4 linked regions of the Struthio camelus genome follow. The main gene of each other region encodes a partner of the protein of the gene in region 2 in a complex. Links are inferred from orthologs where the notes say so. Each region holds a gene or a part of one and is shown on either strand. Other genes may lie near its edges. The genes, in order: GAR1, WRAP53, NHP2 and TERT.

Region 1 (7,406 bases), on a different chromosome or scaffold from region 2:
ACAATTGGAGATAAGAAATGAAATACCAGTACAGAGAACAAACCCAAAATAATTCAGACATCGTATGATTTCAGTTAGAGAAGTCACAGAGGGAACGGATGACAGAAGTACAGGATCAAATGTTTGTCAGCCTCACAGAGGGCATTTTAAATAAAAAGGTTCTGTTAGGCACACTGACTACAGCTATGGAACTTGCTTCTAGTTTCCAACAGAAGGAAAGCAAAGATAATATATTCACCAAGTTGTACCACTAGACAAATATAAATCAACCTGTTTGAAGAAACAAATATATCGTATCTACGCATACAGCACCAAAATGTTTTATTTGAAAAATAAACACTTAAGATTAATTTTTAAAATAACATAATATTGCAACTACATTTCAGCATTTTGTCAAATCAAAAGTATATCCTTAGGTTGCAAACTGTTCATTTCAGTGGTCAAGCCTTAAAAGGATCAACATGTTTGATCTGAAAAGTGCTGCAGAAGTGAGTTTGATATATGATCAGGTAGAACTATAGTGCAGGTGTATGCTCTTTTTAAGGGCCTGTTCTGGTGTTTTTTCACACAGAAGAGCATACATCAGAGAGAAATGAAGTCAGTTTATCCCCGTGAGATTCTACCAAACGCATGAAAGTACAGGATATTTAAGATGCCATATTAAACTCACACAAAACAGTCTTTCTTGTTGGAGCCATCAGATGCATCAACTCTAGTAACCTAAAATTTGACCTACATTAAAAGAATATCTGAGAATTCAATACGGCTCTTCTGCACCTCTGATTTCCCTATTATGCAGTTCTTTAAAGGTTTTTTTAAAGTTTTTTTTAAAGTAAAAAAGATACTAGTGTCTTACAATAGCACACCCTGAGCTTACAGACACATGCCAAAGGAAACAAATTTCAGTTTCCAAGCCCATGGGGTTTGCGGGGGGGAAGAGAAGGAAGGCTTGATTTTTTGTTTTAAACTTTAAGAAGAGTATCGTAGTGGCTTTCAAACCAGTATATTCGTATCAGTGTTTAATATATTACCTTCGGAAAAGTCTAAAGCTTTGTTACTGAACACTGGCCTCATTCCAGTTGAGTCTTTTACTTTATTCCATACCATGAGCTCTCTTATCTTCCTTTAGAGATCTGTTTTATCCTCATACTGACACATGCATGCAGCTCTCTGGCTGTCCAGGTAGGGTTTACATCCTAAATGTATAACTGCATCAAACAACAGCTGAACTGTTGATTCACAAGCTGCAAGAAAAGAGGAGTTTAGTTAGGAATACTCTTTAAATGGAATATGAGACTAATAGAAATGACTCTAGCAAACTGAAAGAGATTTTAAGAAAGAAACGATCCTCTCTGGTCATAGCAAGGAGACCATCAAACAAAAGACTGAACCAGTGCAGAATCATTTATTTTGTGACTAATGATGTTTCATATTCCAACCAAAATAAAATAAGCAAGCAAATTCATTGCAAGTGGATTGTTATCAGTGTTAGAAACATCGCTTAATCTTGGGAAGATGAAAGAGCTGCTTTACCCCTCACTTCTTGCAACTCAATTTATGACAAGCTTGCTATCTTTAACAGCAGCTCAACAGAACTGAACAAATATTCACTGCTTCCGACACAAACCACTAACAATATGACTTCTTGGCAGTCACGTGCATTTGAGAGGTGCCAACACAGGTTTGTTCTAAAAACTGACCGTTCAATGGAACTACTTACTGTAAGAGTGCCATTGTCCAAGTTTAAAAAGCAAGGTTATATAATGTACTGATCAAGATGCGGGCCGACAATCAGAAGGAACATGCTATGGGCTAAAATTTATGCGCTGAAGGACAGCATTAAGTGCTTGCACTCTAACCATATAGTATTCTAAGATCGTTACTTCATAGAAGGAAACAATTCAATATTTTTCTGCAGTTTACTAGCAATCACATGTAGTATACATTTAGAATTCATCCAGTAGAACAAAAATACTTGACTATAACACAGAAAATACAACAATTATTACACACACATTTGTATGAAGTCCTATTCCTGTCTTCATATACCCAGAAGGGGAGCATTAATTTTTTCCTCAGGGTTAGTTTTAATCCTGATCCCTTTCTTACATTGTATCATTGCTCGGCTATACAAATGCTGCATGAGAGAGGGAGAGAACAAGGCTAGGATTGCCTCTCTCAGCAACAGCATCAGCTTATGAAAACGTGGCATTACTGTATAGCACAAAGGCTCCTTGCCAGTCAAACTTCGGAAGAAAAACATGTTTTTCAGACTTACCTTGTACACTTTCCGATATTCCAAGTGTTTTCTGTACATCTCTGCAGATTTTGGAGAGGCAGGACTGAAACTGCTCATCACAATCATTTTTTTTATTGCCACAAGTATCGTAGCATCTGTCATGCTGATTGCAGCACTTCGTCATCGAAGGGATACCAATGTCAAACTGCAAAGAAAATCCCCCACCACCATTGGTATTCCAGCTAGGAAAAATACAGTCTACGAATACTACAAATATGAAAGTTAGAAATTAAAAACTAATAATACAATCAATTCAGCTGTCATTCATTTATCTCTATGATTTGCTGTTCACCTCTAACAAGTTAATCAATATTTTCTCTCTAGTATTAAGGAAAATGGATTAGTGTCAGCAGGGAGAATAAAAGTCAGTCAAACCCTCCACTTGCACAAACCGAGGGCTACTGTTAGGGTTACCCAATGCTTTTGAAAATATTCAGGAAAATAAAACATTTTTACCATAAGATTAGAAATTAATCAACGCTCTGTTTTATCCCTATAATATTTTAGGTCACTGATGAAAATATTTCTGCTACATTTGTTTATCATCTTAACATTCTCCATGTGACATTACCAAAGCATGTGCTGGAGCTAACAGAAGTGGGAACACTGCACGTGGATGCTGTCCTCATCTTCAGGATGAGGGAGGAAAAGAACTCCTGCACTGAGGAAAGTCGATGTATGAAAGACCACATACAGGAAAAAAAAAAAAAAACCCAAAGAACAAATAGGCTTACCTGAACTCCAAACAGAGGAGATCCACAACCATTTGGTGGTGAGGGTTTATATCCATAGCGGGCAAAGGGCTTTGATCCTGAAAAAGGGAATTTATAATTCCTCAAATAGATTTATTTGCGCAGAAGCTTAGTCCTGTCAAACTGAGGTGTTTGGTGGGCTTATGACAGTATCCGCCGTATTTTTGAACTAAACCTATGTTCAGGCATCTGAATATCAGCAGTTCTCACCAAGTAACAAGTTCAAAAGAAGAGCCCGAGTTAATAAGATTGATATACCAGTTAAGCGCGTGATATGCAGGAAATCATTAAAGAACAGGCAAGTTCTCTGAAGTATTAATGAACCTACCATCGAGTTCTCTACGCTGTGTATGCCATCAACAATACTACTGTGATTTTTCTTCACTTTAAGCTTTGGAAACTAGAATGAAGCCTAGAATTGTTGTTTTTTTTTATTTGTACAAGCGTACGTAGAATATGCTACAATAAAATTTAAATGAGGAGATACTGCCAAAGTCATGCCTCCCTGAACACGCAGTAGCACAGAAAGACTTCACATCTCAGGTCACGGAAAACCGTGGAGTCAGTTTAAGAAAACGACCCTTCACCTTATGTTGGTCCTGGGCACAAACCGAGGCCACGAGTAAAAGTAAGAGAGAAGGGAAAACAGGTGTGAGAACTGCCTGTTCCCGTGGAGGCAGGAAAAGGGCTAGCGCGTCGCGGCCGAGCCTTCCGCAGCCAGGCGGACGCCACCCTGAAACGCCCCGCCAGCCGCGGAAACAGCGCCGCGCAGAGCCAAGCGCAAGCCCGGCGGCTCTGCCCCGCCGCCGCCGCCGCCGCGAGCCCCTTCCGCAGCATCCCGCGCCGGGCGGCCGCCGCAGGGCAACGGTCGCCGCGGGGTTGGGGCTGCCGGCCGCGCCCAGCCGGCGCCCCGCCTCACCGTCGCCGCACTTGTACTGGCAGAGGCCGTCCTCGCCGCCCAGCAGGTCGAGGGCCGCGTTGAGGTACACGTCGATCTTGTGCACGCCGTTGCGGATGGTCTTCAGGGTCATGCGCCAGTCGGGCGTCTGCGGCGGCTCCTGGCCCCGCGCCGCCGGCGGCCGCGGGCTCAGCCAGGCGCAGGCCAGCAGCAGCAGCAGCAGCAGCAGCAGGGCACGGGCCATGCCCCACGCCCCACGTCCCACGTCCCACGGCGAGCGGCGCCCGCCGGGCGCTCGCTAGGCCCCCGCCGCCGCCCGCCCGCTCCCGCAGCGCCGCGCCGCCCCGGCCCGGCTCGCCGCCGCCGCCGCCATCCCGCCCCGCGCCCACCCGCCGGGGCCGGCCTTCCGCCGCCCCGCCTTGCCCCGCCCTCCAACGGCCCTAACGGCTCCAACGGACCCTGACAGGGCGAGGCGCACCCACCCGCGGCTGCCCCGGCTGGGTGGGTTTGGGTAAAGGCCAGGGGGTTTTTTTTGTTGTTTTTTTTTGTTTTTTTTTGTTTTTTCGGGCCACGGCCTCGCTTCTGAAACGTGTGGGCGTTGCCAGTGAGGTACGAAGCGCCTCCTGGTTTTCCATTTTGAGAAATCCTGCCCGCCCTCTCCCCTCCCCCGCCGCAGGTGCTGAGGCGGCCCGTCACCGGCCGGGCGGGAGGGCTGGAGCCTGCTGGAGGCGTTTCCCGGTTCCTCCTCTGGAGGAAAGGACAGTCGTGTTTTAAAGTAAGTCTGCAGCGCAGGTAGAAACCCCTGGTGAGGGCGCGAGCGTGTCTGTGCGTTGTGCCTGGCGCGCCTCGCTGCTCGACTTGGGGGGTCTGTGGCGGGTAGTCCTCCCTCAAGGAGCCATTTAAGCAGAGCAGAAACACCCTTCTCTGTGTTCCTACTGACAGTCCCGTATTTCGAGAGAGGACTACAGAGAGGGTTAGAGAGATGAAAATCATAATGATTTCCTCAAGAGGAAAAAAGTGATAACAACTGCGGAGCCCGTCCTCTCTGTAGCGAAAACAATTGGTAGGATGGCAAGATGGGACGTTGCAAAATGTGCCTTAGCACCTAGCCAGTTGCAACACAGGTCGTTTCCACTGGAGAAAGGCTCTAGCAGGTCACAGTGCCCGTTCCAGGAGAGCTTGTTCAAAACCAGGTATGCAACAGGAGCGCTGTTGGCTGCCAATAGCACAGGACATGGTGGCGCTGGCTGAGCAGGGCCTGCTCAGGTTACCAATACTATTGCAGCGTACAAAACCTCAGGACACTTATTTCAGAAAACCTTGGTGACTGTGTTAGAAAGGGCAATCCTGGCATTGCTAAACGTGAAAGACACAGCAATAGTTTTTGGAAAAAAAAAAAAAAGCTTATTTTGGGAGGGGGGGGAAAAACATCTGAAAAAAGCTGATTTTCTAGCCTGCCATTCCGAGGTTGTGCCATTGGTTTGAATGGGAGGACGAGCAGGTTTGTTCCGGCCCTATCAAGGCTTCCTAAGCCTGGTTGCTCTGAACAAACACTGTCCCCTGTGAGCAGTGTGCTCAAAGCCACATTCCCTTTTCCTTCTGTACAGTCAGGGAAATAACTTTGTGTTAATAAGCGCTAGAAAAACATTACTTTTAGGAAAACGTACTCATTTAGAGATACATGTGCAACAAAGACTATGTATTTTGAATGTTCTAAAATTTTAAATAATTTTATGATGCTGTGAAGTGTGAAAGTGATCCTGTGACCTTTTATACATAGGAGTGATTCATTTTCAGGGAACACCAGCAGATGCGCAAGTTGGTGTTGTAAAAGAGGGCAAAATTGAAATCTATCTATTAAACATTAAAAATCCAGCTGTCTTTTGCTGAAGAAAAATCAGGCCAAAATGAACTCGTTTGCAAAACATTCTAGATATTTTTTATATGTATTAATTTTATATTTAAATTCCAGATGTTTCTTAGATGAGCTAAAGTGGAACCATGTAGGAATTGTTTTAATTTTTGTGAAGAAAGCATTATTTTAAGATGTATGAAATCCCTCAGAGCATAGTAATACTGGGTTTTCAGGGCAAACTGTAAAGAAGAGCAGGAAATGCAAAGAAAACTGAATGACTCCCAGACCAAGAGGCAGGGCAGAAAGACACGTGACAAATATTCTGTTGATTTTTCTTTTCAGCCTCAGCACTTAATATTATTTACAGCTACTGAAGAAATAGATGGAAAAAGTTTTTGGCAGAAGTTAATTAAATCAAACAAAAGAGGGAGCTCTTCATACGCTTGTCCTGCAAAACTAGCTTTCCCCTACTATTACTCTACAAAGACCCTGATTCAGGAAAGTAGTTCTTTTGCAGGAATATGTTTAAATATTTTTCTAAATAGGGACCGTTGTCGGCAGGATAAGGGAAGCGGTTCATACCCTTACTTTCATTACTGATAATTGGAAGGGTCCGTACAGTGGAAGAAGTAAAAAATAAATCAATGAAAATGTAACAGTGCAGTCCAGAGCAGACAGTGGTGAATTATTAAAAAAAAAAAAAATCATATTGTGTGAACATGTATCATTTAACAGGATAATTAATTGAGAGGAATAAATTAAATTATATATTAAAAACATTTATAAATTAGTATCAAGTGAAGTATATTATAAAATTACCTAGCAGTTTCATGGAACTGACTGAGATAGTTCTGAAGTCATTTGCCAGTTTTGTGTTGAGATTACCAGTCCAAAAATTCTGGCACTTCTAAAAGCACAGGTGTATGTATACACTAGCCTGTCTTCTAGCTGACTCAGGGCCTGTTGCATAATTCCTTGTATGCATTAGTCTTGCCAGATGTGAGCCTGTTTCTACAGAGATTGACATTTTCTTATACTGGGCACTAGCACTTTTGTTTAAAAATATGCAGATTATGCAGTGGTCCTTTGGGCCCTGCTCCAGTACAGGCTTCCTGACAGTGATGTGGGCAGAACTTAACAATCTTTAACATAAGGGTCGGTGAAAGCAGAAGGACTTTCTGCTTCATGCTTCCTTTTTGTTGGTGGTCCCTTGTGTTTGTCCGGTTCTGTATCAGTTCGAGCAGTGGCAAAACTCCCCCTAGCTTTACTGTGCAGGGTCAGGCCCTTGTAAGGATGGTATTCTTTCTTAGCACTACTGTTTCATGGTTTTGCATATTGGTGTAAGAAGCTCTTGCTAATCTGAGAATCTGTTGTTTTATGACTGACAGTGTTCCTTTTTAACCTAAAATCTGTAACTTGTTTTTGTAGAATTTTAATTAGGTACTTAAGTATCATCTATATACTTTATTTTTATATATTTATATTTATTTGATATATATTTATAGATACACTTATATGCCATAAAACCCTACTTGCGTTTGTTGAAGTACCAGAACTATATAGGCACAGAGAACTTTATAGTAAAGACACTTATTATTTAGG
Region 2 (7,643 bases):
GCCACCTTCGCCATGGGGCAGGTGCTGGAGCGGGTGCAGGCGTGTGCGGGCGTGTGCGTGCGTGTGCAGGCGTGTGCGTGCGTGTGCACACGCATGTGCCGGCCCTGACGCGCGGGGGGGCCCGGGGGGGCAGGTGCTCTTCACGGACGCCACCTTCGCCATGGGGCAGGTGCAGGCGTGTGCATGCGTGTGCGTGCGTGTGCGTGCGTGTGCGTGCGTGTGCAGGCGTGTGCGTGCGTGTGCGTGCGTGTGCACACGCGTGTGCCGCCCTGACGCGGGGGGGCCCGGGGGGGCAGGTGCTCTTCACGGACGCCACCTTCGCCATGGGGCAGGTGCAGGCGTGTGCATGTCTGTGCATGCGTGTGTGTGCGTGTGCGGGCGTGTGCGAGCGTGTGCACACGCGTGTGCCGCCCTGACGCGGGGGGGCCCGGGGGGGCAGGTGCTCTTCACGGACGCCACCTTCGCCATGGGGCAGGTGCTGGAGCGGGTGCAGGCGTGTGCATGCGTGTGCGTGCGTGTGCGTGCGCGTGCGTGCGTGTGCGTGCGTGTGCGTGCGTGTGCACACGCGTGTGCCGCCCTGACGCGGGGGGGCCCGGGGGGGCAGGTGCTGTTCACGGACGCCACCTTCGCCATGGGGCAGGTGCTGGAGCGGGGCGGCCGCCCGGGGCCCCCCCAGGCGCTGCTCCGCTGCGTGCGCAGCATGGCCGCCCCCCCCCGCGCCCAGGCCTCCTGCTACACCGCCGGTACCCCCCCGGCGCGGGGGGCACTGGGGGGCACTGGGGGGGACTGGGAGGGACTGGGAGCACTGGGGGGGCTGGGGGGGACTGGGGGGGACTGGGAGCACTGGGGGGGCTGGGGGGGACTGGGAGCACTGGGGGGCAATGGGGGGGATGGGGGCACTGGGGGGCACTGGGGGGGATGGGGGCACTGGGGGGCACTGGGGGGGCTGGGGGCGATGGTGGGGCTGGGGGGGATGGGGGGATGGGGGGATGGGGGGCACTGGGGGGACTGGGAGCACTGGGGGGGTTGGGGGGGTTGGGGGGGCTGGGGGGACTGGGGGCACTGGGGAAACTGGGGGGAACTGGGGGGGACTGGGGGGGCGCTGGGAGCACTGGGAGCACTGGGGGGGCTGGGGGGGGTTGGGGGCACTGGGGGGACTGGGGGCACTGGGGAAACTGGGGGGAACTGGGGGGGACTGGGGGGGCGCTGGGAGCACTGGGAGCACTGGGGGGACTGGGGGGGCTGGGGGGGCTGGAGGGCACTGGGGGCACTGGGGGGGCTGGGGGCACTGGGAGCACTGGGAGCACTGGGGGGCACTGGGGAGGGGGCAGAGATCACCCCTAACCATGTGTCCCCCCCCCCGTCCTATGTCTCCCCCGTGTCCCTGTGGCGTGTGCATGGCGTGCGCATGGCGTGTGCATGGCGTGCGCGTGGTGTGCATGTGGCATGGCGTGGCGTGTGCATGGCGTGCGCGTGGCGTGCATGTGGCGTGCGCGTGGCGTGTGCATGGCGTGCGCGTGGCGTGTGCATGGCATGTGCGTGGCGTGTGCATGGCGTGTGCATGGCGTGTGCGTGGCGTGTGCATGGCGTGTGCGTGGTGTGCGCGTGGCGTGTGCGTGGCGTGTGCGTGGCGTGCGCGTGGCGTGTGCGTGGTGTGCGCGTGGCGTGTGCGTGGCGTGTGCGTGGCGTGTGCATGGCGTGTGCATGGCGTGTGCGTGGCGTGCGCGTGGCATGCACGTGGCGTGCGCGTGGCGTGTGCATGGCGTGTGCGTGGCGTGTGCGTGGCGTGCGCGTGGCGTGTGCATGGCGTGGCGTGGCGTGCGCGTGGCGTGCACGTGGCGTGCGCGTGGCGTGTGCGTGGCGTGTGCGTGGCGTGTGCGTGGCGTGCACGTGGTGTGTGCATGGCGTGCGCGTGGCGTGTGCATGGCGTGCGCGTGGCGTGTGCGTGGCGTGTGCGTGGCGTGCGCGTGGCGTGTGCATGGCGTGTGCGTGGCGTGTGCGTGGCGTGCGAATGGCGTGTGTGTGGCGTGTGCATGGCGTGCGCGTGGCGTGTGCATGGCGTGTGCGTGGCGTGTGCGTGGCGTGTGCGTGGCGTGTGCATGGCGTGCGCGTGGCGTGTGCGTGGCGTGCGCGTGGCGTGTGCGTGGCGTGTGCGTGGCGTGCGAATGGCGTGTGCATGGCGTGTGTGTGGCGTGTGCGTGGCGTGTGCGTGGCGTGCAAATGGCGTGTGCGTGGCGTGTGCGTGGCGTGTGCGTGGCGTGCGCGTGGCGTGTGCATGGCGTGTGCGTGGCGTGTGCATGGCGTGTGCGTGGTGTGTGCGTGGCGTGGCGTGGCGTGCGCGTGGCGTGCGCGTGGCGTGTGCGTGGTGTGTGCGTGGCGTGCGCGTGGTGTGTGCGTGGCGTGTGCGTGGCGTGCGCGTGGTGTGCGCGTGGCGTGCGCGTGGTGTGTGCGTGGCGTGCACGTGGTGTGCGCGTGGCGTGCGCGTGGCGTGTGCATGGCGTGTGCGTGGCGTGCGCGTGGCGTGTGCGTGGCGTGTGCGTGGTGTGCGCGTGGCGTGCGCGTGGCGTGTGCATGGCGTGTGCGTGGCGTGCGCGTGGCGTGTGCGTGGCGTGCACGTGGTGTGCGCGTGGCGTGCGCGTGGCGTGTGCATGGCGTGTGCGTGGCGTGCGCGTGGCGTGTGCATGGCGTGTGCGTGGCGTGCGCGTGGTGTGTGCGTGGCATGTGCGTGGCGTGCGCGTGGCGTGTGCGTGGCGTGTGCGTGGCGTGTGCGTGGCGTGTGCGTGGCGTGCGCGTGGCGTGTGCATGGCGTGCGCGTGGCGTGCGCATGGCGTGCGCGTGGCGTGTGCGTGGCGTGGCGTGTGCGTGGCGTGTTGCAGGCGTGTTCCGGCTGCGCAGCGGCGACCGCCTGCGCCTGCGGGTGCCGCGGGCCAACGCCTCCTTCGACCTCAGCGCCCACGGCACCTTCCTGGGCATCGTCCGCCTCTAGCGCCGGCGGCCCGGGGCCCCGGCGTCCGGGCAGCACAGGGGCCCCGGCGTCCGGGCAGCACAGGGGCCCCGGCGTCCAGCCACGAGGGGCCCCGGCGTCCGGGCAGCACAGGGCCCCGGCGTCCGGGCAGCACAGGGGCCCCGGCGTCCAGCCACGAGGGGCCCCGGCGTCCGGGCAGCACAGGGCCCCGGCGTCCGGCCACGAGGGGCCCCGGCGTCCGGGCAGCACAGGGGCCCCGGCGTCCGGCCACGAGGGGCCCCGGCGTCCGGGGAATGAGGGGTCCCGGCATCCGGGCATGAGGGGCCCCGGCGTCCGGGCAGCACAGGGGCCCCGGCGTCCGGGCAGCATAGGGCCCCGGCGTCCGGCCACGAGGGGCCCCGGCGTCCGGGCAGCACAGGGGCCCCGGCGTCCGGCCACGACGGGCCCCGGCGTCCGGGCAGCACAGGGGCCCCGGCGTCCGGCCACGACGGGCCCCGGCGTCCGGGCAGCACAGGGGCCCCGGCGTCCGGCCACGACGGGCCCCGGCGTCCGGGCAGCACAGGGGCCCCGGCGTCCGGGCAGCACAAGGGCCCCAGCGTCCGGCCACGAGGGGCCCCGGCGTCCGGGCAGCACAGGGGCCCCGGCGTCCGGGGAATGAGGGGTCCCAGCGTCCGGGCATGAGGGGCCCCGGCGTCCGGGCAGCAACGAGGGGCCCTGGCGTCCGGGCACCATGGCGACCCCCCATCACTGCTCCACCATCTTCCCCCACCCGGACGCCTGGGCCCCCCATTGCCTGTGTGTGGGGGTTGGGGGGGGTGTCGCTCCCCGGACGCCTGGGCCCCCCGGACACCTGGGCCCCCCTGTTGTCTGTGGGGGTGGGTGGGGGGGGAGTCGCTCCCCGGACGCCTGGGCCCCCCGAACGCCTGGGCCCCCCTGTTGTCTGTGGGGGGGGGTCGCTCCCTGGACGCCTGGGCCCCCCGGACGCCTGGGCCCCCCTGTTGTCTGTAGGGGGGGGTCGCTCCCTGGACGCCTGGGCCCCCCGGACGCCTGGGCCCCCCTGTTGTCTGTGGGGGGGGGATCGCTCCCCGGACGCCTGGGCCCCCCGGACGCCTGGGCCCCCCGTTGTCTGTGTGGGTGGGTGGGGGGGGGCGTCACTCCCCGGACGCCTGGGCCCCCCCATTGTCTGTGTGTATTGGTGGGGGGGGGGTCGCTCCCCGGACGCCTGGGCCCCCCGGACACCTGGGCCCCTCCGTTGTCTGTGTGGGTGGGTGGGGGGGGTCACTCCCCGGACGCCTGAGCCCCCCGGACGCCTGGGCCCCCCTGTTGTCTGTGTGGGTGGGTGGGGGGGGGGTCGCTCCCCGGACGCCTGGGCCCCCCTGTTGTCTGTGTGGGTGGGTGGGGGGGGGGTCGCTCCCCGGACGCCTGGGCCCCCCTGTTGTCTGTGTGGGTGGGTGGGGGGGGCGTCACTCCCCGGACGCCTGGGCCCCCCCCAACCCCGCACCAAGCTGCAGCCAAGCAACGAAACCTCGCGAGACTTCGCCGAAACTCTCGCGAGCGCCGGCGCGTGACGTCATCGAGCCGCGCGGCGGGGCGAGGGGGGGAGGGGGCGCGACGTCTCGCGAGATTCTCAGCCAATAAACGCGCCCGAGGCCGCTCCGCTCTCGCGAGATTCGCGCGCGGTGCCTGCCGGGAGGGGCGGGGCCTCGGCTGTCATGGCGGCCCCCATGGAGGAAGGTGTGTGTGGGGGGGGATTCCGGACTCCTGGGCCCCTGGTGGGGGGGAGGGGGGTCCCGGACGCCTGGGCCCTCGGTGGGGGGGAGGGGGGTCCCGGACGCCTGGGCCCCCGGTGGAGGGGGGGGGTCCCGGACGCCTGGGCCCCCTGGGGAGGGTGTGAGGGGGTCCCGGACGCCTGGGCCCCCGGTGGAGGCGGGGGGTCCCGGACGCCTGGGCCCTCGGTGGAGGGGGGGGGGTCCCGGACGCCTGGGCCCTCGGTGGGGGAGAGGGGGGGTTCCCGGACGCCTGGGCCCGTAGCCATACTGACCCCCCCCCCCGCAGCCTCCGACAACCCCCCCGCCGAGGGGGGGGGCCCCGCGGAGCCCCAGGAGCCCGAGGAGGAGCTGTGAGTGCCCCGGACGCCTGGGCCCCCTGGGGGGGGTGTGAGGGGGTCCCGGACACCTGGGCCCCCTGTGTGTGTGGGGGGGGGGTCCCGGACGCCTGGGCCCCCTGGGGGTGTGTGTGTGGGTGGGGTCCCGGACGCCTGGGCCCCCTGGGGGTGTGGGGGGGGGGGTCCCGGACGCCTGGGCCCCCTGAGGGTGTGTGTGGGGGGGGTCCCGGACGCCTGGGCCCCCTGGGGGTGTGTGTGTGGGTGGGGTCCCGGACGCCTGGGCCCCCTGAGGGTGTGTGTGGGGGGGGGGGTCCCGGACGCCTGGGCCCCCTGAGGGTGTGTGTGTGGGGGGGGTCCCGGACGCCTGGGCCCCCTGAGGGTGTGTGGGGGGGGGGGTCCCGGACGCCTGGGCCCCCTGAGGGTGTGTGTGGGGGGGGTCCCGGACGCCTGGGCCCCCTGGGGGTGTGTGTGTGGGTGGGGTCCCGGACGCCTGGGCCCCCTGAGGGTGTGTGTGTGGGGGGGTCCCGGACGCCTGGGCCCCCTGGGGGTGCGTGTGGGGGGGGGTCCCGGACGCCTGGGCCCCCTGGGGGTGCGTGTGGGGGGGGGGTCCCGGACGCCTGGGCCCCCGGGGAGGGTTGAGGGGGGTCCCGGACACCTGGCCCCTCGGTGTAGGGGGGGGTCCCGGACGCCTGGGCCCCCTGAGGTTGTGTGTGTGTGGGGGGGGTCCCGGACGCCTGGGCCCCCTGAGGGTGTGTGTGTGGGGTCCCGGACGCCTGGGCCCCCGGGGATGGTTGAGGGGGGTCCCGGACACCTGGGCCCTCGGTGTTGGGGGGGTCCCGGACGCCTGGGCCCCGCAGGCCGCCCCCCGCGGAGCTGCAGCGCCCGCCGCGGCTGGTGGCGGAGGCGCGGCAGGAGTACGGCCGCCGGCCCGAGAACTTCCTCAAGGGCTGCAAGTGGTGAGCCGGACGCCTGGGCCCCTCGTGGGGGCGGGGGGGGGCGCGGCCGGGGACGCCTGGGCCCCTCGTGGGGGCTGGAGGGGTTCCCCGAGCCCGCCCGGACGCCTGGGCCCCTGGGGGGTGTGGGGGGGCTGGAGAGAGCCCTCCCGGACGCCTGGGCCCCTGGGGGGTGTGGGGGGGCTGGAGAGAGCCCTCCCGGACGCCTGGGCCCCTGGGGGGTGTGGGGGGGCTGGAGGGAGCCCTCCCGGACACCTGGGCCCCTGGGGGGTGTGGGGGGGGCTGGAGAGGTTCCCCGAGCCCGCCCGGACGCCTGGGCCCCTGGGGGGGGGTGGAGGGGTGCCGCGAGCCCGCCCGGACGCCTGGGCCCCTGGGGGGTGTGGGGGGGGCTGGAGGGGTGCCGCGAGCCCGCCCGGACGCCTGGGCCCCTGGGGGGTGTGGGGGGGGGCTGGAGGGGTGCCGCGAGCCCGCCCGGACGCCTGGGCCCCTGGGGGTTGTGGGGGGGGGCTGGAGGGGTGCTGCGAGCCCGCCCGGACGCCTGGGCCCCTGGGGGTTGTGGGGGGGAGCTGGAGGGGTGCCGCGAGCCCGCCCGGACGCCTGGGCCCCGCAGGGCCCCCGACGGCTCCTGCCTGCTGACGTGCAGCAACGACAACACCCTGCGCATCTACGACCTGCCGCCCGCCCTGGGGGGGGGCCCGGGGGGGGCCCTGCCCGAACTGGTACCCGTCCGGGGGGGGTCCGGGGGGTCTTTGTGGGTCCTTGGGGGGGACTCTGGGGGGTCCTGGGGGCAACGGGGGGGGCCCAGGGGGTATTTAGGGGTGTTTGGGGGGGTCCCAAGGATGTGGGGGGGGTCCCAGGGGTGTTGGGGGGGTATTTTGGGGTATTTGGGGGGGTCTGGGGTGTTGGGGGGGGTCCCAGGGGTGTTGGGGGGGTCTCTGGGGTGTTTGGGGGGGTCCCAGGAGGTATTTGGGGGTCTGGGGCGTTGGGGGGGGGTCCCAAGGCGTTTGGGGGGAGTCCAAGGGGGTATTTGGGGGGTATTTGGGGGATGTTTGGGGGGTCCTGGGGGTGTTTGGGGGTGTTTGGGGTGTGTTTGGGGGGTCCTGGGGGTATTTGGGGGTCTCTGGGGTATTTGGGGGATGTTTGGGGGGTCCTGGGGGTGTCTGGGGGGGTCACAGGGGTGTTGGGGGGGGTCTCTGGGGTGTTTGGGGGGTGTTTGGGGGGGGTCCTGGGGGTATTTGGGCGTCTCTGGGGTATTTGGGGGATGTTTGGGGGGTCCCGGGGGTGTCTGGGGAGGGTCACAGGGGTGTTGGGGGGTCTCTGGGGTGTTTGGGGGGTGTTTTGGGGTCCCGGGGGTTGTTTGGGGGGGTCCCGTGGGCCTCTGGGGGGTCCCTGGGGGCCGTGGGGGGGGGGGGGGCCGGGCGAGGGACCCAGGCGTCCGGGCGCAGGTGCCGGCGCTGCGGGTGCCGGAGGGCGACACCGTCTACGACTACTGCTGGCTGCCGGGGATGAGCTCGGCCCGGCCCCCCTCCTGCCTGTGAGCACTGGGGGCACTGGGAGCACTGGGGGAGCCCACTGGTGGTTACTGGGAGCCCTGGGGGGGCACTGGAAGCACTGGTGGGGG
Region 3 (6,982 bases), on a different chromosome or scaffold from region 2:
TCTGGCCAGCCCCCCCCCAACTCCAGAATGGTATAACCCAGCCAGGCCCCCTCCACTAGGGGAAAAAAGCTCATGCTCCCCCCCCCCTCGCACAATGGTCTAATCCTAGCCCCCGCCCTCCCCTAGGAGCTAGCTCATACCCCCTCCTTGAGAATGGTTTAATCCAGCCCCCCAGAATGGCTCCCGCTAGCGACGCCTACATAGGCGCCCCCCCCTCCCCCCCCGTCCAGGAAATGGTTTCTCCCGCCCCCCCCCCAAGCGCTCAGCGCCCCCTGGCGGGGCGGCGGCGGCAGCGCTGCCCCCGTCCCGGCCCCTCCCGGGGGTCGCGGCCCCTCCCGGGGGTCGCGGCCCCTCCCGGGGGTCGCGGCCCCTCCCGGGGGTCGCGGCCCCTCCCGGGGGTCGCGGCCCCTCCCGGGGGTCGCGGCCCCTCCCGGGGGTCGCGGCCCCACACTTGCTCCCTACGAGGCTCTTCACTGCCCTCCCCCGCCAAACAAAGCACACCGACCCACCTACTACAAACCCCTCAGATGCCTTTATTTGCCCCCCGCCCCAGCACTCCCCACGCCGCCCGCTCGGCCGCGTGGTTACAAACCCCGCGCTGGGGCCCGGCCCCGCGAGGAGCCCCCCAGAGCCCGGCACGGCTGCCCCGCGCGCCCACGGGCGCTGCCAGTCCTGGCTGTCCCTCACAGCGGGAGGGGAAGGGCCTCCACCTCCTCCAGGCACTCGTCGTAGGCCTCCTGGTACTCCTCGTGCGGCTTGATCATGATGACGCAGGTCGGGCGCTTCGAGCCGGCGGCAGCTCCCAGGTCCTGCGGGGACAGAGGCTGTGGGCGATGCTGCAGGGCACCGGCCCACCCCGCATGTCCCGCTGTCCTGCCTTTACCCCCTGTCCAACACGGGGCCAGAGGTTCTCCCAGCTTCTCAGGTCCAAACCCCCTTCACTTGTGCTTGCTGTGAGAAGCCTCCCCCAGCTTGTCTGTAGCTCCCGGGGGCAGGATGAAGGGCTGCTGTTTGCCAGAAATGCCTGGGCACCTGGCCTTACGCATCTGTGCTGTCCGTGAGGTGAGCAGGAAGCCAGAGTTTGAAAAAGTCTGAAGGCCTGTACAGGTTTGAAGCCTGTATAGGTGGTAGTGGGTAAAACCCCAAAGGCATCAACTCTCCTAATGCCTACTCTAAAAAAAAAAAAAAAAGGATGTCTAATAAACACAACAACTTAGCTACTGCCTCATTCCTGAAGCCTTCAGGTCACCAGCTCAGAAGCAAGTGGGGAAACCCCCTCCAGGCTCTGCCCTGGTGCAGTCCAGCACCAGTGCTGCCGCCAGAGCTTCTCTACAAGGGGAAAAGATTCTGCAGTTCCACAATAAAACCATCCTAAATCTGAGCTGTGACCCTCCGTTCCTCTCTTGCCCCGAGAACAGACGAGTGCTGGTGCTGGAGTGTCACCAAGGGCCTCCTTTACCCAAAAGCCATATTTGTGCCTGCCCACGTACGGCTGCCTGTCGCAGCATGGTTGGGGCTGCAGCCTGCCAGTTTGCTGCCCCAGGACTCGGGTGCCCCCTGCTCCACAACCTCATCCCCTTACCGATTTGGAGGGGACGTACGCGTAGGGGAGGCTCCTGTCCTCGCACATGATGGGGATGTGGCAGTACACCTCGATGGGCAGCGTGTCGCCAGCCAGCACTGTGATCCTGCATGGGAGAGCCCGCGTCAGCCGCCGCCGCGCCGGGCTGCGCCGGGGGCGGCGGGGCCGGTGGAGCGCTTACCCCTTCTCGCCCTTGTTGATGAACTTCTGCACCTCCTTCACGCCCCGACGGATCTGCTTGTGCTTGGCCGCTGCAAGACAGGCACGACTGTGACTGCGGCTGTGCCGCACTGCCCCGGCCTCGCCTCCCCCCCATCAGGCCACAGCCGGGCCCCTGGCACCCTCCATCACCCTCCCGGACCTCCCGGGGCCCCAGCCGGGCTCCCGACACCCTCCACCACCTCCCCCCGGCACCCTCCATCACCACCCCCCAGCCCCCAGCCGGGCTCCCGACACCCTCCACCACCTCCCCCCGGCACCCTCCATCACCCCCTCCCCCAGGGGCCCTGCTCGGCCCCGACACCCTCCATCACCACCCCCCAGCCCCCGACCAGGCTCCCGACACCCTCCACCATCCCCCCCCCCGACATCCTCTATCAACCCCCTCCCGGGACCCCGGCCCGGCCCCCAACACCCTCCATCATCCCCCCGACCCCCCCAGGGCCCCGGCCTCGCCCCGACACCCTCCATCACCCTCCCGGACCCCCAGGGGCCCCTGCTCGGCCCCGACACCCTCCATCACCCCCTCCCCCAGGGCCCCTGCTCGGCCCCGACACCCTCCATCACCCCCTCCCCCAGGGGCCCTGCTCGGCCCCGACACCCTCCATCACCCTCCCGGACCCCCAGGGGCCCCTGCTCGGCCCCGACACCCTCCATCACCCTCCCGGACCCCCAGGGGCCCCTGCTCGGCCCCGACACCCTCCATCACCCCCTCCCCCAGGGGCCCTGCTCGGCCCCGACACCCTCCATCACCCCCTCCCCCAGGGCCCCTGCTCGGCCCCGACACCCTCCATCACCCCCTCCCCCAGGGGCCCTGCTCGGCCCCGACACCCTCCATCACCCCACCCCGATCTCGACACCCTCCATCACCCCCCGGCCAGGCCCCCGACACCCTCCATCACCCCCTCCCCCGGGGCCCCGGCCCCACCTTTCTTGATGCACTTGTAGAGCTTGCGCGTCAGTTTGCGGGAGGCGAGCGGCTGCGCGATGGGGTTCAGGTTGCCCAGCTGCTCCCGGTACGAGCGCTCCGGGCCGCCCTCCGCCTCCGCCGCCGCCTCGGCCTGCTTCTCGCGCGCCATGGCCGCGCCGCACGCGCCGCCGCTTCCCCTTCCGGGGCCGCCACCAGCGGGACCCGCCTCCGGCCCCCCCCAGCCCGCCAATCGCCGGCGCCCCTGCCCGGCCCGCCCCCCCCAGCCCGCCGGCCAATGGCGAGCGGGCTCCTCTCCCGCCCAGCCGGGGCGCGTTCTGCGGGAATCCCCGGGGAAGCCCTCCCGGGCGGGGCCGCGCAGCCGGGGCTCCCCGGGGTTCCGCCGCCGGCCGGCCGGCCCCCCCACCCCGGGTTCCCCCCCGCTGCCCGCCATCCCTTGCCCGCCATCCCTTGCCCTGGGGATCCCCCCGCCCGCCTCTCCCCGGGGTCCCCCCTGCAGCCCGCCATCCCTTGCCCTGGGGATCTCCCCGCCCACCTCTCCCCGGGGTCCCCCCCCCGGCCCGCCATCCCTTGCCCTGGGGATCCCCCCGCCCGCCTCTCCCCAGGGTCCCCCCTGCAGCCCGGCATCCCTTGCCCTGGGGATCTCCCCGCCCACCTCTCCCCGGGGTCCCCCCCCCGGCCCGCCATCCCTTGCCCTGGGGATCCCCCCGCCCGCCTCTCCCCAGGGTCCCCCCTGCAGCCCGGCATCCCTTGCCCTGGGGATCCCCCTGCCCGCCTCTCCCCGGGGTCCCCCCCGTGGCCCGGCATCCCTTGCCCTAGGGATCCCCCAGCCCGCGTCTCCCCGGCGTCCGCCCTGCAGCCGGGGCTCCTCTACCAGGGGCGCCCCTGTCCGCCCTCCCCTAGAGCTGGGGTGTGGGGGTCCCTCTCCCCACCATGCACAGCACGGGGGTCAAACACAGGCTGGAGCAAAGTTTACTTTACAACATCTGCCTTTACTGGCAAACAACCGCGGCCTCCCAGACGCTGGGATGATGAAGGGCAGGGATGTCACAGGTCTGTGACCAGTCCTCCCCCAGTTGAGGCAGAACAGGAATGTTCAACGCTAAATCTACACCCGAACTTGAACACAGCAGTGCTGTAAACGTACAGTGAAGGCACCTAAATAGCAGAGCTCTTCTGCAGCACCAAAGTTGTATCAGTGAGACATTTTGATAGGGGTGGGCCCAGATTCACCTCAGCTGATAATGAAGATTATTTTCCCCCTTTTTACTCATTGCAGGGATGTGCTGCTTTTCCCACCAAGGACGAAGGTTTCTCTTCCAGCTCACCTCCTAGCAACTGCTTTGTTCTTTATCCCATCAACCTGTCAAGCACCACAAAGGGGTAACTAGGTCTGCCAAAGGCTGCTCTGCCACCAGCCGATCTCAGCCAGGGACAGAGCTAGGGAGACAACGCTGCTCCGAAAGAAACAGGCCTCAGACGTGGTTTGTTACCTTCTCCCCCAGCCCAGCCTGTCCCCAGAGCACAGGAGGGCTTCACCCAGCATTTGCAGCTGCTCCAAGACCTCTTGCTGCATTTCCACAGCCATGCGGTGTACGTGGTGGGTCACGCTGTTGTACATCACTGCGTTCTGGAACATGAGCATGAGGTCACGCTGGAACTGGGCACTGGTTTGAATGTGGCCCTTCGACAAGTTTCTCTTTATGCTGGTTAAATCCATGGGTCTACAAAAAACAAGCCAGAGCCAGGCATTCTTCAGGCTCTAAATGAACTTGCTTATTTTTTTTTCAGCGCGCAGCTATATTCAATCAATTTTATTGCTCATGACAGAGGGGGAGAGTGAGAAATGTTTGTCTTCTAAGTCAGACAAAAATAAGTTTAGCCAATGCGACACTTGCCATCCAATCAACTTCGCAAGCCACTAGCAATTACATCTGAAAAAAGTTTGATGTTGAGCTCCAGAGAATGCAAGCAGAGCGAGTCTAGTAATTAGTCTTTGTGAAGTGAGCCCAGGTCTTAGTGGAGAAAGAAAAGGAAGATACTAAAATAGGTATCTATTAAAACCCCCTAAAATCGAATGGTGCCACTACCAAAAATAGCAGTGCTGGCAAGTGGAACATGATGGAGAATAAATATGACTTCTCTTATTTTGACAGAAAAAGAAAATGAATGGCTGCAGAGAGGACAACTGTGACCAGAATAGAATATGATTCAGCTCTGAAAAATACCCTTAATCTATCTGGGAAATATTCTTACAATCCACTTCTCCACTGAAAGTAAAACATCTGGGCAGAGAGCAATGGGCAAAAGAGGGCTTTGACTGAGGCACCTTTTCCCAGCTACATGGGGAGTAAGAGAGTGTCGGGCTGCAGAGGCAAGTCTCCTACTCAGGCAGGGGCAGAGCTGCAATAGTGACAGAAATCAGCTAGAGAAGACTTATTCCACAAACTCACCTCTTCACCACATCCTTGTAGCCAGGGGCTTGTTTGTCTGACACTGCCTTCAGGAACGGGCCACTGTATCTACAGGGGCAAGCACAACAAATGACCTCTGTATGTCTCCAAGCGGAGGGCTGAAGGCAACATTGCGACATGGACCTATGCTTGCCTCTCCCTGCTAGCCATGAGCCTATTAGCAACACTCAAAACTTCAGTGGCTGGCACAGCCAGGCACAGGAGGAGGCTGAACCTCTTGCTGAACCTGGCTGCAGCAGGAAGCAGCAACTGGGCTCCTGAATGCACAGCAGCTGCCACGTTAACCAGAGGAAGTAAATATGCAGAGTCTTCTCTCCAGCCTTGCAGCACACAGCTGTCCCTGCTGCAACGACAGGGGGAGAGAGGCCAGCCTGCAATGGCAATCCTAAAGGGGAGGAGAGGGCCTAGTGACAGGGGGGTTGGAACTCAGGACAGCATGCACAGGAGCCAGGCCAAGCCCAACCCCTCATCCCCACACACCTGTGACTGGCTATCATCTTCCAGATGGACAGAAGAGTCCTCTTGAAGAGCAAACGTTGCAGGGGGTTATCCCAGCTCAGCTGCACCCTGCAGAGGGAATATACTGTCAGGTCATCACGCTCAAGACAAATGACGGGACATTTCCTTTGCTAGGGCCCAACGCATCCCCTTGGACAAAGCTCACCGATCCTTTGGTGTAGCTACATAAAGCATCATGGGGTGAGATGGTGGAAGCATGTTGCATCAGAATTCAGGACTTACTACCCAAGACACAGGAAGACGGAGGCCAATAGATAGAAACAATAGCCAGGCTGAACAGCTCTAAAGAGCAGGATCAAGCTGTCGGGTTTTTCATTTGGTTTCTCATCCCAAGAAACCACCTTTTTCCTTCAAAAGTCAGCCCAGGTAAGCCCAGTGGCAGAGCCTACATGTGACATGCATACATCTGCCTAAAGGGGGCTACCAGTTTCTCTCACCCCAAAACACTAGCAGTCCCACAGAGATAGCACAAGTTACCTCTTCCCTCCTGTTCTCCTTGGATATCTCACCTTTCTCAAGGTGACTTATGCCATATACTTGCTCTCATGTAGGCCCAAGGAAACAGCTCTGCTCTGCTGCCCCTGCAAGAGGGCAGACTGAACTACTTACAGCTGTGTGGAGGCAGGAGTTGTGGACCCCAGGGGGGAGGCTGCAGAAGTGCTCTCTCTATCATCTTGATGCAGGGGCTGATTGCTCTTCTCTTGCGGACACAGCTCGCCTGCAGCTTGTTCCCCAGATGCCTCTTGAGCCTCGTCCTGAGGAACAGAGAGGAAAAATGAGAGACAGCTGAAATGGCAGCCCATCCCCTGGAATCCTTTATCTAGAAGCCAGCCTGCTGTACATTCCCTAACTGTAGCCAGCCTCGGATAGGAGCTGGCACTTTCTGTCCTATTCTGGAGGATGATGTTTGACCTAAGCTATTCACATCTTCATCATGCTGCCCAGGACTTTAGTAACACCTGGGTCTGATCTCTCAGATCATAACCACCTCTAGCTAGTTCAAAGGACTGTGGTGCTGACTGGTCCCCAGTGTTGTGTCAGTCTTCTTGTCTGCAGAGAGTTATGGATGAAGAGGTAAGACTGCCTTGAGACACAGACAAAAGGAACCTCTAGAACCCAACAGGGTTGTTTCCTCACAGACTCCCACACTGACCATGATAGAGAACAGATTCAGCCAGCAAAGAAACTGGTGCTGTTGACGCAGTGATTTACCAGTACAGGGTGAAAGATGCAGGAAGAGAGGATTTTTTTGGAGTCCAG
Region 4 (7,237 bases), on a different chromosome or scaffold from region 2:
GATCATTAAGGGACCGGAGCATCTGACATATGAGGAGATGCTGAGGAAGCTGGGATTGTTCAGCCTTGATAAGGAAATGCTCAGGGAGACCTTGTCAAAAATGTATAAATGCCTGATGTAAAGAAGACAGATCCTAATTCTTCTCAGTGGTGTCCAGTGACAGGACAAGATGCAGTGGGCACAAATTAAAATGCAGGAAATTCCAACTAAACATAAAAATATTTTTCACTCTGAGGGTGGTCAAACACTGGAACAAGTTGCCTACAGAGGTTGTGGAGCCTCCATTCTTGGAGATATTCAAAACTCAACTGGATGAGGTCCTGAGCAACTGGCTCTAGTCGACCCTGCTTTGAGCAGGGGGGTTGGATTAGAGATCTCCAGAGGCTCTTTCCAGTGTCAGCTACAGAACAGCTGTTTCTGTTATTCTATTCTTTTCTTTATTCAGCCTCCTAAAAATCAACTTATCCCCTTTTCTATGACACTTCATTCCCCCTCTCCCTCCTGGATTCTCTCCCCAGCCTAGTGGTAGGCACACAGAAAAACAGGGTAGTGCCTATGAAAAGAAACAGGAATAAAGAGATCCCCTTAGCCTGGCCACAGCAGTCCTCTTCTCTCCTCACACCCTTGATGTGGTTGTTGCCAAGAAGGCATCAGCAAGACGCACCGGTAAGGACCTACTTTGGAACCTACCACCAGCTGGCAGAAAGGGTCCAGGAAAACGACAACTAAAAGCCCTCCTCAGAAATTCGGCCTACAGCAGCACCTGCAACCCAACTATCTGCCATGAGCATATCACCAGCTTTGGGGACATGGATGTACCACCCCCAGAGCACACAGTCAAGTAGTTACAACCTCACCTGCAACCAGCACGTCCTCAGCTTTGGGTTCATCCTCCACTATCACCAAAATCCCATTACTTCCTTGTGCATTGGTGCTAGGGTTGCACCCTCTAAGAAAGTCCCACTGGTGGAAAGACCTAGACCACTGTCCACCTCTTCAACAAGACCTACAGATCAACACCTCACAGACGGTCTCCCTCACCATCATGCCCTTGGTTTCTCCAGTATCATCCCCCTGGCTGCTGGGGAGGAATCTTTTGGTGCAGTCAGGGGTCTGGTTGCTGTTTTCAAGATTTATGACTCCTTGTCCTTGCCACCGGCCCTTGATCTGGGGATACACTCAACACCCCTTCCTGTTCCTCCTCCTCTCTTCCTGAGCATGTTCCTCAGAGGAAATGGTGACTCGCTTATCTGCCACATGCCCGCCTGCATTAGACATCATCCTTGGGTTGTACCTTGAGGGTATCATCACCTCTGGAGTATCTGGGGGTGGGGGAGAGGGGAGTACATACCCACCAGAGGTCAGATCATGGATATCAACTATACTCCTGCCTGAGTGCAGCTACTGATACAGCCATGGCCAACTTCTGTCCCCTTGCCCAAGTCTGCAGTGTCTGTGCAACCTCTCCATTACAGCATTGCTGAGGTCCTTTGAAGCCTTCTAGTATTATCACTCTCCCTCCTTTGGGGGTACCCATCTGGTGCCTATCTGCATCAGGGATGCATGGCAGTCCGTGGCATGCAGGCAGTGCTGAACAAGGAGTGACACAGAAATGCCTCAATCTAAAGGCTATAAAGGTGCTAAGAAGGAGTGGACACCTCAGCCAGGATGATGAACAGGGAAGAGCTGCTTTGCTGCCTGTAAGAGATTTAATGCTTTAGAAAGAAGGTACAGCCAGTCCTCGAAGAGCAGGGGGATGCTGACCTCACTCTGAGGTCTTTGCGGTCCTCACTGAAGGAGAGGAAGGTACACTGTCCTGTCTCAGCAGGGCCACAGTTTCTACACCCCTATCCCTGCCATTGGTGAGAACTATTTGCTGTGTAGCACCACCCGTATCAGGGGCAGCACTGTCCCTGGCCACAGGGCCACTAACTTCACCTAATGAAACACCTAATGAAACAACCTTCTCCACACTGGGAGCTGCCAGGTGAGTCCTCATAAGGGCCAGGTACTCTTCAGTCTTTGGGAAGGGGAGAACACTATCATGTTGCTGCAGGAGATTTCACAGCAATCCAGCCAGGAAGCCTAACTAGAAGACAGTCACCTCACGTCACTAATGTATCTGGTAGACTGCTGACTCTGTCCTGCCTAGACCTTTGCTCAAAGGGGCTGATTTGGGATTTGCTGAACTTGTGCCACGTGGCCTGCTACCCATCTCTGTCCATGTGGAGGGAGCAGTTGTTAATATTAACACCTACAGCCCACTGGGCCAAGAGCATAGCTTTAACAGCAGACGTGTCTTGGCAGTCAGAGTCCCAGAGTCTCTTTTGCATGGCAGGGATCGGTATGACAGAGTAGCTGGAGCAGGAGAGTCGGAGGTGAAAAGGATCTTGGCATTCTATCCCTTTGCAGCACGTTTTGAGAGAAGCGTGATGAACTCCAGCTCCTGGAAGACCGCTGGGCTCAGGGCACCTTTGGTCACATATCCAACTGCTTCAGGAGATGGATTGTGGCATGCAGCATTTAACCTTCCTCACCAAGTTATCCCTCTTCCCCTTTCCAGCCTACCTTCTCATGGCTCATATAGAAGCTGTTCCATACTTTTGGTCCCTGAGCCCTTTCTAACTCTAGTACATCTTTTCTGAGAAGTAGAGGCCAGAATCGCACAACCGCACTCAAGCTGTCGCAAACCATGGATTTATGCAATGGCATAATGATGTCCTCTTGCTGTTCTTTATTCCTTCCCCAATCATTCCTAATACTTGACTTGTTTTACTGGCTGCTGCTGCGCATAAAGCTGATTTTTTCATGGAACTGTTATAACCTCAGGGTCTCAATCCTGAGTGGTACTAATCACCCCAGAGCCCATAATTTTATATATGAAACTAAGAATGTATTTCACCTCTATGCCACACTTGACATTTATCAGCATTAAATTTCAACTGCCATGTAATTGCTCAATCATTCAGTCTTATAATGTTCTTCTGCAAGTTTATACTCTGCTTGTGTCCTTGCTGCTTTGGATAACTTCATCCAATCAGCAAATTTTGCCATTTACTGATTACTTACAATACTTCTGAGTCATTTATGAAAGTTATACAGTGCAAACTAATGTGGATCTCTGGTGGTGGCCTTCCTTATTGAAAGAACTGACCATTTATTTCTACCTTTGTTTCTTATCCATATCAGCACATTCCTTCTTTCATTTTTCTATTCATAACATTTCCTTACAAAGGCTTTTGGAAATTCAAGCAGACTATATCAACTATATTATCATAATCTTCATGTCTTCTCAAGCATCCATAGAACCCCAGGAGGTTTTTAAGGCAGAACTTCTTTTTGCAGAAGCCATGTTGACTGAGCAGCTTGTATTTCTCCCAGCATCTAGTAATTTTATGTTCTGTTATTATTTCTACTAATTTACCCCAAAAAACCATCAGGTTTACAGGCCTGTAGTTCCCCAGAACCCCATTCAAACCCTTTTTAAAAGTCTGGCATCAAATTTGCCAGCATGCAGTCTTCAGGTATCAAGGAAATGTTTGAGTAAGAACAACACTACTTACTAGTGATTTGGCTGCTTCATTCCTGAATTTGATAAGACTCCCAGGACCAGCAAGTTGGTTATGTGTTAGGATTTACTCTGCTCATCTGCACCATAACCTCTTCTACAGTTACTTAATTTCAGATAGATCGTCTACTGTGTCCCCATCCTAAAAGGGATTCTGTGATGGGAATCTTCCTCATTTCTTCCATGGGAAACTTACCTTAGTAAACCAGCAAGACTCTCTCAAAACTTTCTTCAGCACCTCTCGTGACAGTATTTCAGGCTATCCCAGGCAACCTGGAAACGCACAGCACGAATTAGCCAGATGCTACAAAGCTGTCCGAAAATAAAAGCCTAAATGCCTGGTCAAAAGTCATGCCACGAGTTTGAGGTAACTGGTGCTAGTGCTCCACCTCACAATGCACCTTTAACCATAGGCCCTTGCTTCCTGCTTTCTGCACCAACTTCTGCTACTTTGGAAACTGCACGAGTCTTTAAGGACTCTCGGTCTCACAAGGGGGAAAATGAGTGCGATAACACGAGTTTATGGCCCAGAAGGAGAGCAACCATGGCGTGAAAGCATCCCCCCATCCCGCGGGCTTGCGCCTTCCGCGCACTCGGCCCTCCTCGTGGCTCACTCTCAGCCCCAGGAGGTGCCTTGGCCCCCTCACCCCAGCCCGCCTTCCTCGGGTCACTAGACGGCGCTGGAGGAGGTGAGGAGCTGCGGGGCTGGACAGCGGCCTCCCGCCCGGCCCGGCCCGGCCCGCCGCCCATCACCTCTGCGCAGCCTCGGAGGCCGCGCGGGGGGCCTGCGGCACCTGGCCGCAGCAGCTGCGGGGTGTTTGTGCGAGCGCGGTTTTTTTTTTTTTTGCTTTTTGGGTTGGTTTTTTTTTTAGCAATAAGGTTTTTTTTTTTTTTAAAGAAGCAACAGCCCCTCACAGCTTCCTGCAGTGCTTCAGCCAGCGGCTGAAGCGTAAGCGCGACGGGGGAGGAGGTGAGGGAGGAAGGCGCGGGGCCGCCTCAGGTGGCGGCGTGCTCCATCGCCACAACATGGCGGGCGCGGGGCCGTTCGCGGCGGCGCTGGCCGCCCTGCGGGGCTGCTACGCCGAGACCGCCCCGCTGGAGACCTTCATCCAGCGGCTGCGGGACAGCGGCGCCGGCGAGGCCGAGGTGCTGCGGGCCGACGACGCCCCGTGCTACCGGACCTTCGTGGCGCAGTGCGTGGTGTGCGTCCCCCGCGGAGCCCGCTCCATCCCGCGGCCCTTCACCTTCCAGCAGGTAGGAGGGCGCGGGGAGGGGGGGTGGGAGGGGGAGGCAGCCGTTGCCCGCTTGCGCAGCGGCACCTGCGTTGCAGCCCTCCCCACCGAGCAGAAGCCGCCCGCCCGCCCGCGCGGGCAGCCTCGCCCGCACCAACGGTCAGCGCCGGCCGTTGGTGGCCGTTGCCCCCCGTCGCTGCCTGCCGCCTCGCTGGCGTGCGGCCGCGGGAGAGGGCTCCTGGGGCTGCCGCCCTCCGCGGTGCCGCGGCTCGTCATGCTTTTCCTGTCCTCCATGCGTGTGTGTGCGCAGCGGGCGGCCACGCTTGTCTCCTCGTGGCTCTGCCTCCTGGCTGCGCCTGCTCGCTTGGTCGTCTCCTTTGGTCCCCTTGCTCTTCTTCGCCTCAGAATGAAGTTTGGTTTATGGAAGTTAAATTTTTCTCTAGCCTGCGTGGGGCTTATCCCCCTTTCCCCTCCCTCTAGGGGGTGAACGGGCAAAATCTTAGTGTCTGCTGGCCCGTGGTTAGATAAGCCGAAAGATTTGTGTGTCTGGGACTCCCTGACTTTGTGCTTGGTCTGTGGGGAAGCATTTAACACCCCTTCCCCCTCCAAAATGTCTGGGGAGCAATTAGAAATGAAAAAACACCATTTTACCTCTGTTAGAGGATAGAGAAGAAGAGAGAAAGAATTATTTTCCAATCCTTTTTTAAGCAGAAAAAACTCTTCCAAGAGGAATAAGACGAGTTTCTCTTGGAGCTATTGTGCGCCTGAGCAAAGTTGTGCTACTGCACAAAACGAATGTTGCAAGCTTATGGAGTATTTTTTAAAAACGTGAGCTGAAATACTCACTAGAAGTTGTTTATTTTACATTAGCACTTGGAGGTCCCCAGAAAGGCAGTGTTAGATCCCTGCTGTGGTATGGTCTGCGCATGTGCGTAGCGTGGGGCAGAGTGACCTGAAAGCCTTGGAGTCTGGACTGCTGAGAAAGATGAGAGGAGTAGCATAGGGTGTTCCCTTGGCATGAAAACCAGGATCAAAGGAGCAGAAGTTAAAAAGACTTCCCTAAAGTCATAGTCTCTGGTTGATGATTTTATTTTTTTAATCCTGTGATATGTTTGAAAATCTTTTTTCTAATAGGGCACTGTTGCCTCATTAATATTGCTTTGAAAAGCTTTAATCTAAAGCTCAAGGCTAGAACTCTGTATGTTGCATGTCTGTTCATTTAAAGGGTATGTTGTGGCGTTTGGAAGAGTCCATAAAAAGTAATTCTCCTTTTTTCTTTCTTTCTTCAGTTATCTAGTCAGAGTGAAGTCATCACAAGAGTTATTCAGAGGCTATGTGAAAAAAGAAAGAAGAATATCCTTGCGTATGGATATTCCTTACTGGATGAAAACAGTTCTCACTTCCGAATCATGCCGTCTTCAAATATATGCAGCTACCTACCCAATACCGCAACAGAAACTCTTCGTATCAGTGGCCTATGGGAAACATTACTGAGCAGGATAGGGGATGATGTGATGATGTATTTATTAGAACACTGTGCAATCTTTATGCTGGTTCCCCCTAGTAGTTGCTATCAAGTTTGTGGGCAACCCATTTATGAACTTATTTCAAATAATGTAGAATCGTCTCCAGTGTTTGTTAAACAAAGATATTCAAAGCATAGACGTAATATCTTGTTTGACTATATGCAAAAGAGGCTTATGTTTCATAAAGAGTATCTTTCAAAATCTCACTGGTGGAAATGTAAACGAAGACTTGCAGTTCAAGTCTCCAGCAAGGGAAATCAAAAAAATAACAAAATACAAAGCTTAGGATCCAGTTTGGCATATTCGTCTAAAGATGATTTTAAAGCAAGCAAACAGATCAGAATGGTAACTGAACATCTGGAAAATCAGATTAGCCCAGGTTTATCTTCATCAGCTACAGCCCTGTCCTTGAAAAGGAAGCTTGATAGGGAACAACTTAAAATTACAGCTAAGAGAGCAAAAGTAGAGGAGGAAACACCAGAGAAAGAGGCTTGGAATCACAGTCCTGGCATAAACCAAAGTAGTTCCACGAGGTATGGAACTGAGTACATCGCATCACATTCTGTAAATCTTACTGAAGAAAAGTACGCTGCTAGAGGAAGTGACAGTGATATGCCTGGCCCTTCTTTACTTCGCAAATCTTATGATGGGAAGGAGAAAGCTGTCGCAGATGAGAGTGCGTTTCTGCAAGGAGTTCAAAGTAACAGACCTGTTAAGTCCAACATGGAAATGCAAGCAGAATCAAATAGAAAGGGCATAGAGATGCATATGTATAAATCTCAGGTGGATTCTGTACAAATGAAACCAAGGGAAGGTATTTCTTCAAAATACAGAAGGCTGGAAAGTCCCGTAGATCTTTTGGGAAAGAAATTGCCAAATACAATCTTGCGTTCTGGAGTATACATTGAGAG

Evidence for each region.
Region 1: WRAP53 (region 2) and GAR1 share a complex: the UniProt entries of both Homo sapiens proteins name them as parts of the telomerase holoenzyme complex. The link is inferred for Struthio camelus from reciprocal best matches to the Homo sapiens genes WRAP53 and GAR1.
Region 3: WRAP53 (region 2) and NHP2 share a complex: the UniProt entries of both Homo sapiens proteins name them as parts of the telomerase holoenzyme complex. The link is inferred for Struthio camelus from reciprocal best matches to the Homo sapiens genes WRAP53 and NHP2.
Region 4: WRAP53 (region 2) and TERT share a complex: the UniProt entries of both Homo sapiens proteins name them as parts of the telomerase holoenzyme complex. The link is inferred for Struthio camelus from reciprocal best matches to the Homo sapiens genes WRAP53 and TERT.

Annotation. Positions count from the first base shown.
Region 1 is NC_090945.1:24,424,722-24,432,127, reverse strand, and holds the start of GAR1 (H/ACA ribonucleoprotein complex subunit 1), read left to right. Parts: upstream 1-4,397; 5' UTR 4,398-4,724; intron 4,725-7,406. Other genes in the region: PLA2G12A (group XIIA secretory phospholipase A2), read right to left, coding at 1,126-1,244, 2,279-2,444, 3,034-3,110, 3,971-4,193. UniProt on the Homo sapiens protein: Required for ribosome biogenesis and telomere maintenance. Part of the H/ACA small nucleolar ribonucleoprotein (H/ACA snoRNP) complex, which catalyzes pseudouridylation of rRNA.
Region 2 is NW_027182724.1:72,247-79,889, reverse strand, and holds the start of WRAP53 (telomerase Cajal body protein 1), read left to right. Parts: upstream 1-4,642; 5' UTR 4,643-4,677; coding exon 4,678-4,699; intron 4,700-5,020; coding exon 5,021-5,084; intron 5,085-5,926; coding exon 5,927-6,025; intron 6,026-6,632; coding exon 6,633-6,741; intron 6,742-7,467; coding exon 7,468-7,556; intron 7,557-7,643. Other genes in the region: uncharacterized protein, read left to right, coding at 605-743, 2,877-2,986. UniProt on the Homo sapiens protein: RNA chaperone that plays a key role in telomere maintenance and RNA localization to Cajal bodies. Specifically recognizes and binds the Cajal body box (CAB box) present in both small Cajal body RNAs (scaRNAs) and telomerase RNA template component (TERC).
Region 3 is NC_090954.1:9,665,318-9,672,299, reverse strand, and holds NHP2 (H/ACA ribonucleoprotein complex subunit 2), read right to left. Parts: upstream 2,931-6,982; 5' UTR 2,881-2,930; coding exon 2,730-2,880; intron 1,834-2,729; coding exon 1,764-1,833; intron 1,689-1,763; coding exon 1,583-1,688; intron 810-1,582; coding exon 684-809; 3' UTR 514-683; downstream 1-513. Other genes in the region: BRD8 (bromodomain-containing protein 8), read right to left, coding at 4,080-4,092, 4,223-4,453, 5,183-5,251, 5,684-5,770, 6,332-6,477. UniProt on the Homo sapiens protein: Required for ribosome biogenesis and telomere maintenance. Part of the H/ACA small nucleolar ribonucleoprotein (H/ACA snoRNP) complex, which catalyzes pseudouridylation of rRNA.
Region 4 is NC_090943.1:71,164,740-71,171,976, reverse strand, and holds the start of TERT (telomerase reverse transcriptase), read left to right. Parts: upstream 1-4,237; 5' UTR 4,238-4,594; coding exon 4,595-4,822; intron 4,823-6,089; coding exon 6,090-7,237. UniProt on the Homo sapiens protein: Telomerase is a ribonucleoprotein enzyme essential for the replication of chromosome termini in most eukaryotes. Active in progenitor and cancer cells. Inactive, or very low activity, in normal somatic cells.